Rattus norvegicus: one gene and its partners. The protein of the gene in region 2 purifies or fractionates together with the protein of the main gene of each other region. This does not show direct contact. Links are inferred from orthologs where the notes say so. Each region holds a gene or a part of one and is shown on either strand. Other genes may lie near its edges. The genes, in order: Fbxo7, Psmb1 and Psme4.

Evidence for each region.
Region 1: the proteins of Psmb1 (region 2) and Fbxo7 purify together in Homo sapiens (affinity purification with mass spectrometry; 3 studies listed by BioGRID and IntAct, counting the BioPlex papers as one, with this or other methods). This does not show direct contact. The link is inferred for Rattus norvegicus from reciprocal best matches to the Homo sapiens genes PSMB1 and FBXO7.
Region 3: the proteins of Psmb1 (region 2) and Psme4 purify together in Homo sapiens (affinity purification with mass spectrometry; 3 studies listed by BioGRID and IntAct, counting the BioPlex papers as one, with this or other methods). This does not show direct contact. The link is inferred for Rattus norvegicus from reciprocal best matches to the Homo sapiens genes PSMB1 and PSME4.

Annotation. Positions count from the first base shown.
Region 1 is NC_086025.1:19,722,646-19,726,470, reverse strand, and holds the start of Fbxo7 (F-box only protein 7), read left to right. Parts: upstream 1-1,290; 5' UTR 1,291-1,323; coding exon 1,324-1,445; exon of another isoform or gene 1,446-1,593; coding exon of another isoform or gene 1,594-1,630; intron 1,631-1,688; exon of another isoform or gene 1,689-1,862; intron 1,863-3,693; coding exon 3,694-3,825. UniProt on the Homo sapiens protein: Substrate recognition component of a SCF (SKP1-CUL1-F-box protein) E3 ubiquitin-protein ligase complex which mediates the ubiquitination and subsequent proteasomal degradation of target proteins and plays a role in several biological processes such as cell cycle, cell proliferation, or maintenance of chromosome stability.
Region 2 is NC_086019.1:65,132,817-65,136,416, reverse strand, and holds the start of Psmb1 (proteasome subunit beta type-1), read left to right. Parts: upstream 1-873; 5' UTR 874-1,111; intron 1,112-1,496; 5' UTR 1,497-1,664; coding exon 1,665-1,774; intron 1,775-3,581; exon of another isoform or gene 3,582-3,600. UniProt on the Homo sapiens protein: Non-catalytic component of the 20S core proteasome complex involved in the proteolytic degradation of most intracellular proteins. This complex plays numerous essential roles within the cell by associating with different regulatory particles.
Region 3 is NC_086032.1:108,772,472-108,776,196, forward strand, and holds part of Psme4 (proteasome activator complex subunit 4), read left to right. Parts: intron 1-202; coding exon 203-332; intron 333-1,782; coding exon 1,783-1,864; intron 1,865-3,357; coding exon 3,358-3,511; intron 3,512-3,725. UniProt on the Homo sapiens protein: Associated component of the proteasome that specifically recognizes acetylated histones and promotes ATP- and ubiquitin-independent degradation of core histones during spermatogenesis and DNA damage response.

The DNA of each region.
Region 1 (3,825 bases), on a different chromosome or scaffold from region 2:
TAATTAATGCAAGCTTATGTTTTGGTTTGTGAACATGGGCTGGACATAGGTAAGGTAAGGTTTTAATAGTTCAGGAGCAAGGGGGGTTTCCAGATGAGGATTTGGCAGGCGAATAGGCACTGATTACTGAAGCAGAACGCACGCACGCCAAGTTGGTCATGAAAACCTCTTGAAATGAAGACATGGTTTGCAAGGGGTTCACAGCGGGTTTGTCATAGCAACAGGTTGTCATAATAACCTTTTGTAATAAAGGCATGGGGCAGTACAGAGCCATTCGTAGTTATGTTTACAGGTGGGACATAGACCAATCCTTGAGAAGGAGAAATGTAATCATAAACAGGAATGGACCTAGTTTGCTTTTACTATAAGATGTCGTTTGAGCCTGAGATGAAGGCAGGCTGGTTTATCAAGATTTAACCTGGAAAGTGGAGAGCTATACTGTTGTGGCCTTCAAATCCATGGAGAGAGACCAAAGACTCAGGCTCAATTCAAATTTATATTAAGTGAGTTTATTCTTACTGCTAGCAGACGGCAGGCATCTTTAGAGCCAAAACAACATTCCATAGGGAGAAGGGGGGGGGCTAAGGATTAAGAGGGGGGTTTAAATTGGACATCAGAAAGGTGTATATTACAACTATTCACGAAATCCACAGCTGGGCAGGAAAACTGTTTTACTTTCCTCAATTGCTTCTTATCTTCCCTATGTAGTAATTAAAAGATCATTTCATCTGTTTCCCATAGCGATAGTGAGTTTTAAAGAAGCAAAGGCAGCTGTTAATACCTCACGGCCATTGTCCTATTCTTATCTCACCTGTAGGCCTCTAGGATCTCCCAGGCCGACAACAGCCCTTAAGGGATCCCTGGCTCCACATCCTTATCACCACAGGGGACCTATGTAAATTATAGGCAGGTCTGAGCACTAATGACCGGAATAGAACAGGCAAAACCAGGGCCATCAGGTTAGGGCGTCTGTCACGTCTGCACACTGTGGGCAGCGCTCGTTCCAGCGCTAAAGATCCTGCAAGCTGGGACCGAAAGAACGAACTCGCTCACCCGGGCGGAAGCGCACAGGGTGTAGCGTGGGCACTCGGCGCAAGGCAGCGAACTCAGCGCCTGCGCCGTGCGCGCCTCGCCCCCCAGGTGGCGCTGTCGCGCCCAGAGCCACCGATAGAGAAGCGCAGGCGCTCGGCACTCGGCTCGAGCAGAAGGCTCTAGGGGGCGTGGTGGAGAGAGCGGCGAGCTGGGATTCCTCAGGCGCGCAGGCCCGGAGCTACTTGCTTTCGGTTTCTCCCCGGGCCGACCGAGGCTTGCGGTCCGCTCACCATGAAGCTGCGCGTGCGGCTTCAAAAGCGGACCCAGCCGCTCGAGGTGCCGGAGTCGGAGCCGACGCTCGGGCAGCTGCGCGCGCACCTCATCCAGGACCTGCTGCCCACGTTGGGGTTCAGGTGAGCGGCGTCGCGGTCGCGGGGCTCGGGAATGGCGCGCGTCGGGCGGTCACATGAGGTCCGGGCCTCCGGGGCGTAGCTGGTCTAGACGCCTGTGACTGTGACGCTCGGCAGCTGAGTGCTGGCCGGGGTCTGGCTTTGGGAGACCATGGCCCAGCCTCCCCCTGGTGCCGCTGTCCACCATGGTGAGTAGTCACTTCCGGGTTGCTGTCACGGCCGCCCCGAGGGCGGGAGGGAAATTCGGGAAGCTTGGCTTGCGTTAAACCTCCCAGTGTAAACCCACTGTGGGTGGAATTTACCTTAGCGGTTAGGATACTTCAGTGGTTAAGTCGGGGAAAGCATCGTAGCTGAAGTGACAAACTTCTTGACATCCTACGTCGCTGTAATTTGTGCCACCGCCCAGGGCTACAGTAACAGGTGAGCGTGCATGTGCCAGACTGCACTTAACTGTAACTTTCTCACTGCAAGGTTTGGAAGTACGCATTCTTCGGGTCACTGGGCATTTTCTGGGTGAGAATGTTTGTTGCTTTTTCTCTAAAATAGAGGCTTGACCCTATAGAGCTTGCAGTTTTGTGGCAAGTTGAGAAAGGATTAGGTTCTATTACTAATTTATGGGGTTGCAGATGAAGCTTCTATGTTTCTGTAGAAGATATTTTCAGGACGTAGAGAGACAACTATATGGATGACCCATTTCAAGTGCTGAGCTAGAAATTTGAACTAGTGAAGAAAATAAAATTAGAAGATGGGCTCTGGTGCTTTTAAAGGGAAAAATGTTAAAAGAAAAACTCTTCCCGTTAATTGGCATTTTAAATAAGTCTTCCCCTTTTCACTTTATTTGTAGGGAATTAAGCAAAATGAAACTGATTAGATTGGTCACCCCCCCACCCCTCCCCATTAAGTAAGCCTGAGGTATACCTTTATTCTAGCGCTCTGGAGGAAGAGCTAGGTGTATCTTTGAGTTCATTCCGGACCAGCCAGTGTTACACAGTGAGACCCTGTCTAATAAAATAATGTTAGGCAAAATATTTTAAAAAGCCCTTTTTCACATTAAAAGAATTAAACAATGTATTCCCATATCGTATATTATATATATTTCCATATAATGGTGACCTACCTACATGTTACTCATTTGGTGTAAAACTGTTTTCTATGTTGATAACAATTGCCACTCCTCAGGCTTTGAGAATGCAATTTTTAAGGTATTTACAAATTGTATTACTTCTCAGTTAAGCTGGGCAGTTTTGAAAGGGTGTGAAACCCAGAAGCCCCTGTTAGTTTCTCTTGCCTGCTGTTTTCACAGTCGAGGTCGGTGTGAAAATCTGAAATTTTGCTCATTTGGGGTACAAAAGGGAAGCTTTAAAATGTGTCCATGTGACACACTTGTTGTTCTTAAAGAGTATTTTCTAAGTAAGCAAACCAAAGATTGGTATAAAACAGATTTTTTTTAAAGTTTGAAGCTTCCTCTTTCCTTTTTGTTTTTGTTTGGAGCTTCTAGAATTGCATTTTTTTTTGGGTGAAATTCCCCCAATGCCGGTGATTACAGAAAATAGGACCTTGGAAAAACATGCCAGAAAAGTGGGAGGGGAAGCTAGCATCTCTGTTAAACAGACGGCTCCTTATCTTGTCTACAGAAGGAATTGTTTGCTTGGGGACTGTCCCCTTTCCTGCCAAGGTTGACCTGGTGTTTTCATGGGCACTGGCAGATTTTCAGCTTCTTGCTGATCAGAACACTTTGCAAGCAGCAAGCAGAGCAGCTTACTGTCTGTGGAGTAGGAATAAATTTAACTCCAGTAACATCTTTAATTGATGAGAAAGGAAAGGATGCGTGTAAGAAAAAGGAATCGGGCTGGGGAGGTGGTGAAAGCTTTTGATGCCCAAGCCTGGCACCGGAGTTTGAAGTCCTCGCACTGATGGGAAGCCGGAAGTAAAGTGGTGTGTTAAGTTTAAGAAGCTCCTCGAGTTCAGCCATGTTGAAATACTGAAAAGTATATGCTCGAGGATCGATGAACATATGAATTAATGATAAGTATACCTTCCAGGCTATTGAAGTTTTAGTTAGAAGTCTGTGACCCAGGCATTTGATCAGAAGAACAAGTAATTTTGTCCCCTGCTTTCTTTCTTTCTTTCTTTTTTTTTTTATATTACATAGTGCTTTTGGGCACATAGCATGTACTTTAATGTATTCCAAATGCATTATTTGGAATATTGGTAGGTAGCTCTTACTATGCTCATCCGTCTTTCTTGGCAGTTCTGATACCCGATTTGCAATTACATTGAACAACAAGGATGCCCTCACTGGAGATGAAGAGACCTTGGCTTCATATGGGATTGTTTCTGGGGACTTGATATGTTTGGTTCTTGAAGATGAAATGCCGGCACC
Region 2 (3,600 bases):
TCTCGACTGGAGCCCGGCTTGTTGTGCTTAAACTGTGAGACACTCGTGAAAGAAAGGGGTTGGGTTGGTGTCCCAGCATTTTCGGGACCAGGCCTCTGACCGCCCTTTCTAGCTGTCAAAGAGAGATGTAGAGTGTGTAGCGGGAACAGTATTGGGGATGTGGCTATGGGGATCAGGCTCAAGCAAGCGTTCTACCACTGAACTGTATACATCCTCGATCTTCCACGTGTTGTTTTTGTTTTTTTGAGAGTTTCTCCTTGTCGCTCTGGCTGTCTTGGGACTCACTCTTGTAGAACAGGCTGGTCTTGAACTCAAGAGATCGCTTGGCAAGCTCACTGGGTCCTCCACTTTGCTCTGTAGAGTTGAATGATAGTAGTAGTTGCCTCTTAGAGATTTGTGAGATGGATAACGTGAATGGCAAGCAGACGCTTCTTATTATGTTCTCAGTAAATGTCAACTTGCGTCCAAAGAGGAACAGCAAAACAAGCGGCTTTGTAGTCACAGACTCATTTCTATTTTAACTCTGCTACTACCAGCTCTCGTCCTTGCTGTCACAAGAAAACGTCAGCTGTTTCTTAGACTGGTTCTTAATGCTTGATTTGATTCCAACATACCTTAATTTTTTCCTTCCATGGTTCACCTAGGCATATACATGTGTTGTTGTGCTTACTCCCCCCCCCCCCGGTGTGTGTGTGTGTGTGTGTGTGTGTGTGTGTGTGTGATAGAGAGAAAGAGAAAGAGAGAGAGAGAGAGAGAGAGAGAGAGAGAGAGAGAGAGAGAGAAGAGAATCTGTGTGTTGTGTATAGCTGTTGAATAGGTTGCCATATGCATAGACTCTAATAAGTACAATAGTATTGTGTATCTATTTTCTCCTAAAGGAAACATTTTCTCTTGGAAGTACAGGAAACCACAGAAGACTGGGGAATTAAGAAAACTTAACAAAGGCCTGACAAGAGACAATTTATGGGAAGCAGATTTATTTTGGCTTAGTGCTTGAGGGGCTACAATCCAGGGGAGAGCATGACACCTGGACTGCATCCACAAATCGGAAGCATAAATTAGATAAATATTAGTTCGCTTCTTTATTTAGTCCGGAAATCCAGGCAATGAGGTGGTACTGCTTATATTTTGGTTGGGTCTTTCCTCTTCTATTAAACCTTCTTGAAACACCCGCATAGACATGCCCATGGGTTTTACCTAGGTGATGCTAAATTCTGTGAAGTTAACAATATTAACCATCAGATTCTGACTGGAAACCTAGTATTGCTTCCTGGGTCTCATGGCTGCATACACCACACAGTTGACTACGCATCCCGATTCTCAGGCCTTGAATGCAGCAGGAACCACTAACCCTTCCCAAACGCTATGCCACTTCACCAATGTGACATCCGAGTTGTCGTTACTCTGTAATTGGGTTAATTTGTTGGTATAGTCGGACTTTTAATTTTCTATCCGCCATGAGTAAATCCAAATGTTTTCTTGGGATTATAAAACAGGTCTCTCGGAATCGGCAGATCCAGGTTGTGCGGTAGTTGGATGCAGGCGTGGACCTCCAAGAGCAGCGACGAGTACAGGCTAGAGGAGCCCAAGGGGCGGGGCGAGGGAGGCGGAAGTGGACCGGTCCCAGCGGCCATTTTGCCGTGAGACAGCAGGAGTTAGGCGCGATGCTTTCCACTGCCGCTTACCGGGACCCGGACCGAGAGCTGGTAATGGGGCCTCAGGGCTCCGCCGGCCCTGTGCAGATGCGTTTCTCGCCTTATGCCTTCAACGGAGGGTAAAATCCTGGGTGTGCTGCGCTCATCTTGGTTGAGTCCTGGGGTCGCTGCGGGCGGGTGTGGGAATGGCGGAGATGTAGCCTGCTGCCCGGCACTCCAGAGTTGTGCATGAACGCCCTTGGTGCCGTTTGCTTCAGCAGGGCGGGTCCCACTTTAACTCTTAGCTCTATGGGCTATCGTTTGGTAGGGCTTAAACACGTTTCTAAAGCCAGCGCGTGAACATGAAGTTATGAATTGTCTTGATTGTTAGACGAGTAGCTGTTTATTATCGCTGAGTCGTCTGATCATTTATTATATTAAAAGGAAAATAATATAATTAGCCAGACCTAATTCCAGGGATGAAAAGTTAAGGTGGTTCTACTCTTGAGAGACGTAATCTGCTGGGCAAGTTCTACTGAGCTGCATCCCCAGCCTTAGACAGTCGGACCCTTTGTGTGTGTTTATTTTTACTCTCAAATTACTTGTGCATTTTAATCATCCGTTTTATTCGAAGGGATGGTCCTTTCAGTTATTTGAGCTACTTTATAGGTTGAGGAAGACTCAAAGTGGTTACTCTTTTTTTGTAAATTTCAAGCAGTTAAGTGAATATTTTATACTCTTAGTTCTTGGCTCTTGGCATTTTAAACAGCCCAGGTCATAGAGCTGGTGTGAATTAGAACTGGTTTTCAGTTCATAGCGTTCTCAGCCTTGTCCAGTTTCGGTTTGCTTTTCCAGTTGCTTAACTCTGCACGTGAACACTAAGTACTTACATCGTAAGGTGTGTTAATATAATAATTTCCAGGTGTTTCAAATGCAGTACTCACGATTCACTTTTTAACTCTCAGTTCTTACCTGTCACTTTGTTCATAGTTACTTAAACCTGCCTGATAAATAACCTTTCTCCTTTCTCTTTCATACCTTTTAGCATTTATTGCAACTAGCCCTTCATGCAGCTTCTGATTCTACAGTATATTAATTTCTCTTTGTAGCTTCCAGGTTTTGTTACTTTAGACCTTTACTTGCCTCATCCCTGGGAACATAATTCCCAAGTCTGTTTCTGTAACTTTATTTCTCAAAAGTCCCCTCAGTTCTGGCCTCGTTGTAAAACCATTTCTAACTGCATTTTCAGTTCTCAACATAACTCAAGTTAGTAAACAAAATAAGCGAGGTAGTTACTGCTACTCCTTCCTTGAACGGACCCCTTGTGATGATGTATGTCATCACCCTGCTTGGGTCAGTTTAAAGGGGTGGGGTATGTTGTTTTCCTCACTAAGCACATTTAGGGAGTAGTAAAACCTTGGTTGCACACAGTGGTATTGTATTTGAATTTGTCCTTCTTCCTCTGTCATCCTTTCTCCCTTCTGTTTCACCACTTGTATTGGAGCAGTATTTATGTCCCATTTCACATGCTGTACTATTGTCAGAATTGTCCTAAAACCTCACTTTGCAAATGGAGCATTCTCATTCTTGTTCTTTGTGACCTTCAGGACTCCTTGCTAAAATTCTAAACTCTAGCTTGGCACAGTCCATCACATGAGGATTATGTCTCTGGTTACACAAAAATGACCACCTTAATTAAGTTGCCTGAGTGGCCTGTGGTGATACTTCTTTTTTCCTTCTGTTGCTGTTCATAGGTATTTGGAATGCCATTCTTTTTTGCTTTGGAATTTTAGTACAAAACTTGCCTCAGTAAAAATAGTAGGTAATGTTTTCTGGATGTTTATTTCCAAGAAGGAAATATGTTAGGTACTCTATGTAACTTGTGTGTTTAATTCTCACACCCTGTGTAACACAACAATACCGTGATTACCATCAGTTTGAACATGAAGATTTAAAAGTCACACAG
Region 3 (3,725 bases), on a different chromosome or scaffold from region 2:
TTCAGTAGGCCTGTCTTAATTCTTGAGAAACTTGAAATTATGTCAAACAGAGTTATGCAGGGTTTCACACACCTGTGATCCCAGTTTTCAGGAGTCTGAGGCTACAAAGCAAAGAAAAAGTTTCAGAACAGATTCTTGTTTTAAGTGGGTTTTAAGAGGAATCTGATTTGTAAGTACCTTCTCTCATTCTCTCAACTACCAGGCCTTGGAAATTTGAGCATATAGGAATCGGGCTTCTGTCTTTACTCCTAAGGGATGACAGAGTGTTGCCTCTTCGTGCCATACGTTTTTTTGTTGAAAATCTCAACCATGATGCAATCGTTGTTCGAAAGGTACATACTTTACTTATTTTGGTTACTGTGTTCGGTTTGAGAATATCTACCTCAACAAACTCTTTAAATTCTTCATAGACAACGTCTAACCAGTACCTTGAAAGGAATGATTTAGCATCTCCTTCTGTTTGCTCAGAAACAGTAATAACTTGTTCAACAAATATTGGGAGGCATAATCAGGCATTTTATACATTTAATGCTGTAGCTATAACAAGAATAAACTTACAGACTAATAGGAAAGTTTGACTTTTAAAAATTCAAAAATCCATTTTGCAAGCAGAGGGTCAAATCTAAGGGTTCAATTTTTGGCTTTGTTCTAAAAGTGTTACAAATGAGCTTGAAGAAGGATTCTGGCTTTGTCCACTTCTGGAAGAAACCCATTAAAAGGCCCAGAGGCCAACACAAACGGGATGAGCTACTGTTGACCTAAAAAGGAAGGGCAGTTCTTTGAGCAGAGGTTCAAAGGTGGACACACTGGTAGATTCCTAGTTGAATGTTTGTGCTCCTCCCACCAGTGGCAAGTGGTAGACAGTATATTCCTTTAGTTAATTAACTCTTAACTCTTTATCTAAATATCTACTCTCTCTCTCTCTCTCTCTCTCTCTCTCTCTCTCTCTCTCTCTCTCACACACACACACACACACACACACACACACACACACACACACACAAAACACTGCAGTATATTGTGGCAGTCAAAGGACAGCTCCTGGGAGATAGGTCTCTACTTGCACTGATGGATTGGATGATCAGATTGAACTCGGTCATTGAGCTTATGCAGCAGAGCCATCCAGCGAAGCCTAACGTGTTCATGTGCACTTTTTTGGTTAATTTCTCCAATAACCTCTCACCTGGTATTACCCTTTCCACTTTCAAATCTTCTGTTTTGCCACCCCCTCTTTCCCATTTTCTTACAACCTTTCCCCTCTCGTGTCCCCTTTCTAGCATCATGACTTCTTTTTCTCGGGCTCACTGTACATAAATAACTTGTTTATAAATTAGAAGCTATGGATCTGTATAAAAGACGGCAATGTATTGGTTGTCTTTCTACGTCCGGGATACTTTACTTACTATGATTTCTACATCCATTTGTGAATACCATTTTTCCATTTATGGTTGAGTAAAATTTCACTTATGTGTAGCACATTTTCATTATCTGTCTGTTGATGGACATCCAGGCTGATTCCACTTCGTTGCCATTGTCAGAAGTACACCATTGAACATAGATACACAAGTATCTTTGTGACAGGATACAGAGTTCTTTGGGGGACCTAGTCTTTGAGAAACTTCTGCACAGAGTCTGCATGAGTTTACACTCCTACCTAGAGAGAATATAAGCTCCTTTTGGGAGGAGGGTTTTTTGAAAATAAAATCAGTTTTTACTATGGTACAGCATGTCATAAGAGAGTTTTTTCAAAATGTTGATATAAACGTGTTAACCTGTTTGTAGATGGCTATCTCAGCTGTTGCTGGTATTCTCAAGCAGCTAAAGAGAACTCACAAAAAGCTGACCATCAACCCTTATGAAATCAGTAAGTAATACCCCAAGTAAATAACAATGCCTTTAAATAACACGTAGAACATTTCCTGAGTATTCACAGGGTTAGGAGTGGTAGCACAGGGAGAAAGGTTCAGATTTCAAAAGTCAGCTTGAGCTGTGTTAACATAATCCATTGAGTATTTCTGAGCAAGAAGATTAGAAAAGATCTACTTTTCTTACTGTGTTCTTGGAATTTTCCCCCTTTATATTTATTTACTTATTTTTTTGTTCTTTTGTTTTTTTGAGACAGGGTTTCTGGGTGTCCTGGAACTTACTCTGTAGACTAGAGTGGCTCAAACTCAAGAGATCCACCTTCCTCTGCCTCCCAAGTGCTGGGATTAAGGCATGCACCACTGCCCTGAAAGTGTAATATTTTAATTTTGGATTAGACTATAGTCTACAGAAAAATGTCTCAAGAAACTTTCTTTTGAAATAAAGAACATACATGTGGATAAATGGACTAAAATTTTAGTAAGGTGTGTTGATAAAATTAATGACACAGAATCAATGTTAATTTAATTATTTTGAGAACTGTTTTGATATATAAAAGAACATTCTTAGGAAATACTTTTGTATTCTGTACTGTGGGGTGTAGAGACATTATGAGAGCAATTCCCATAAAACAATTCCAATATGTATGTGTGTAGGGAAAGAGAATATGTTAAAATATCTATAGGGTAATGTGTAAAAGTATGAGGACTGTAAGTGAAGAATAATGTTAAAAAATTCCTTGAGCTTTGTAAAAAGCTTGAAATTAATTCAGAACCAAATGTTTTAACGAGCCCTTATAATTTAGTAATCATATTCTCCTAACAGTTAACAATCCCAAATCCATATATCCCATCTTTCCCTCAATAGTTCAACATAAACCCCCTTTCCCTCCTCAAACTCCCACCTGACCCTTTCTCCTAACCCTAACCTTACCCATGCCAATTCTTTTCATATTTGTGTACACGGGTGCACATATGCCATCATGTTTATGTGGAGGTCAAAGTACAACAATGAGTTTTTCTCTCTTAACCGTGTGGGTCAGGGTGCTTGAACGCAGGCTACTATGCTTGTTAACAGGTATCTTTACCTGGTGAGCCATATAGACAATAATATGGTCTTTTAAAGACATTATTTAAAAGTGATTTCTTGTTAAGTGTTGCAGGTAGAGCTAGAGAGGAAGCTCAGTGTTTATGTACATACATTATTTTTATGCAAGAACCAAGTTCTATTTCCTGCACCCATATCAGGCAGTGCACAACTATAATTTATACAAGTATATATTTTTAAGGGAGTTATAGTCAGAGAATGGTAGTGCATATCTCATCCCAATACTTTCGAGGCAGAGGCAGGTGGATCTTTGAGTTCTAGACCAGCAAAGGCTATAAAGTGACACTGCCTTTTTAAAAGAAGGTAGTAGAATTATGTATTGGAAGTCTGGAACAGCTAATGGAGTTATTGTTTTCAAATTATTAAATCTGAATACCTTTTCTTTAGGTGGATGTCCTAAACCTGCCACAGTTCTTGCTGGTGATAGACCTGATAACCATTGGTTGCATTATGATAGCAAAAATATACCAAGAACAAAAAAAGAATGGGAGTCAAGTTGCTTTGTTGAAAAAACTCACTGGGGATACTACAACTGGCCAAAGTAAGCCATGGTCCTCCACCACCCCCTTCCTTATCATTGAATGTTTTTTTTTTCTTTTTTGTTGAACTTAATTTTGTTAGATCCAATTCTAGGTTCAGAGTCACTTTTAAAGGCCTTTTCCTTCTTCCTGTTTTTCTTGAGCTCCTCCCAATGCTGTGCTTCATTTCTTCCCAGTTGTTACACTGCAGTTCTGAGCTTTCCTTAGTGCCATGCG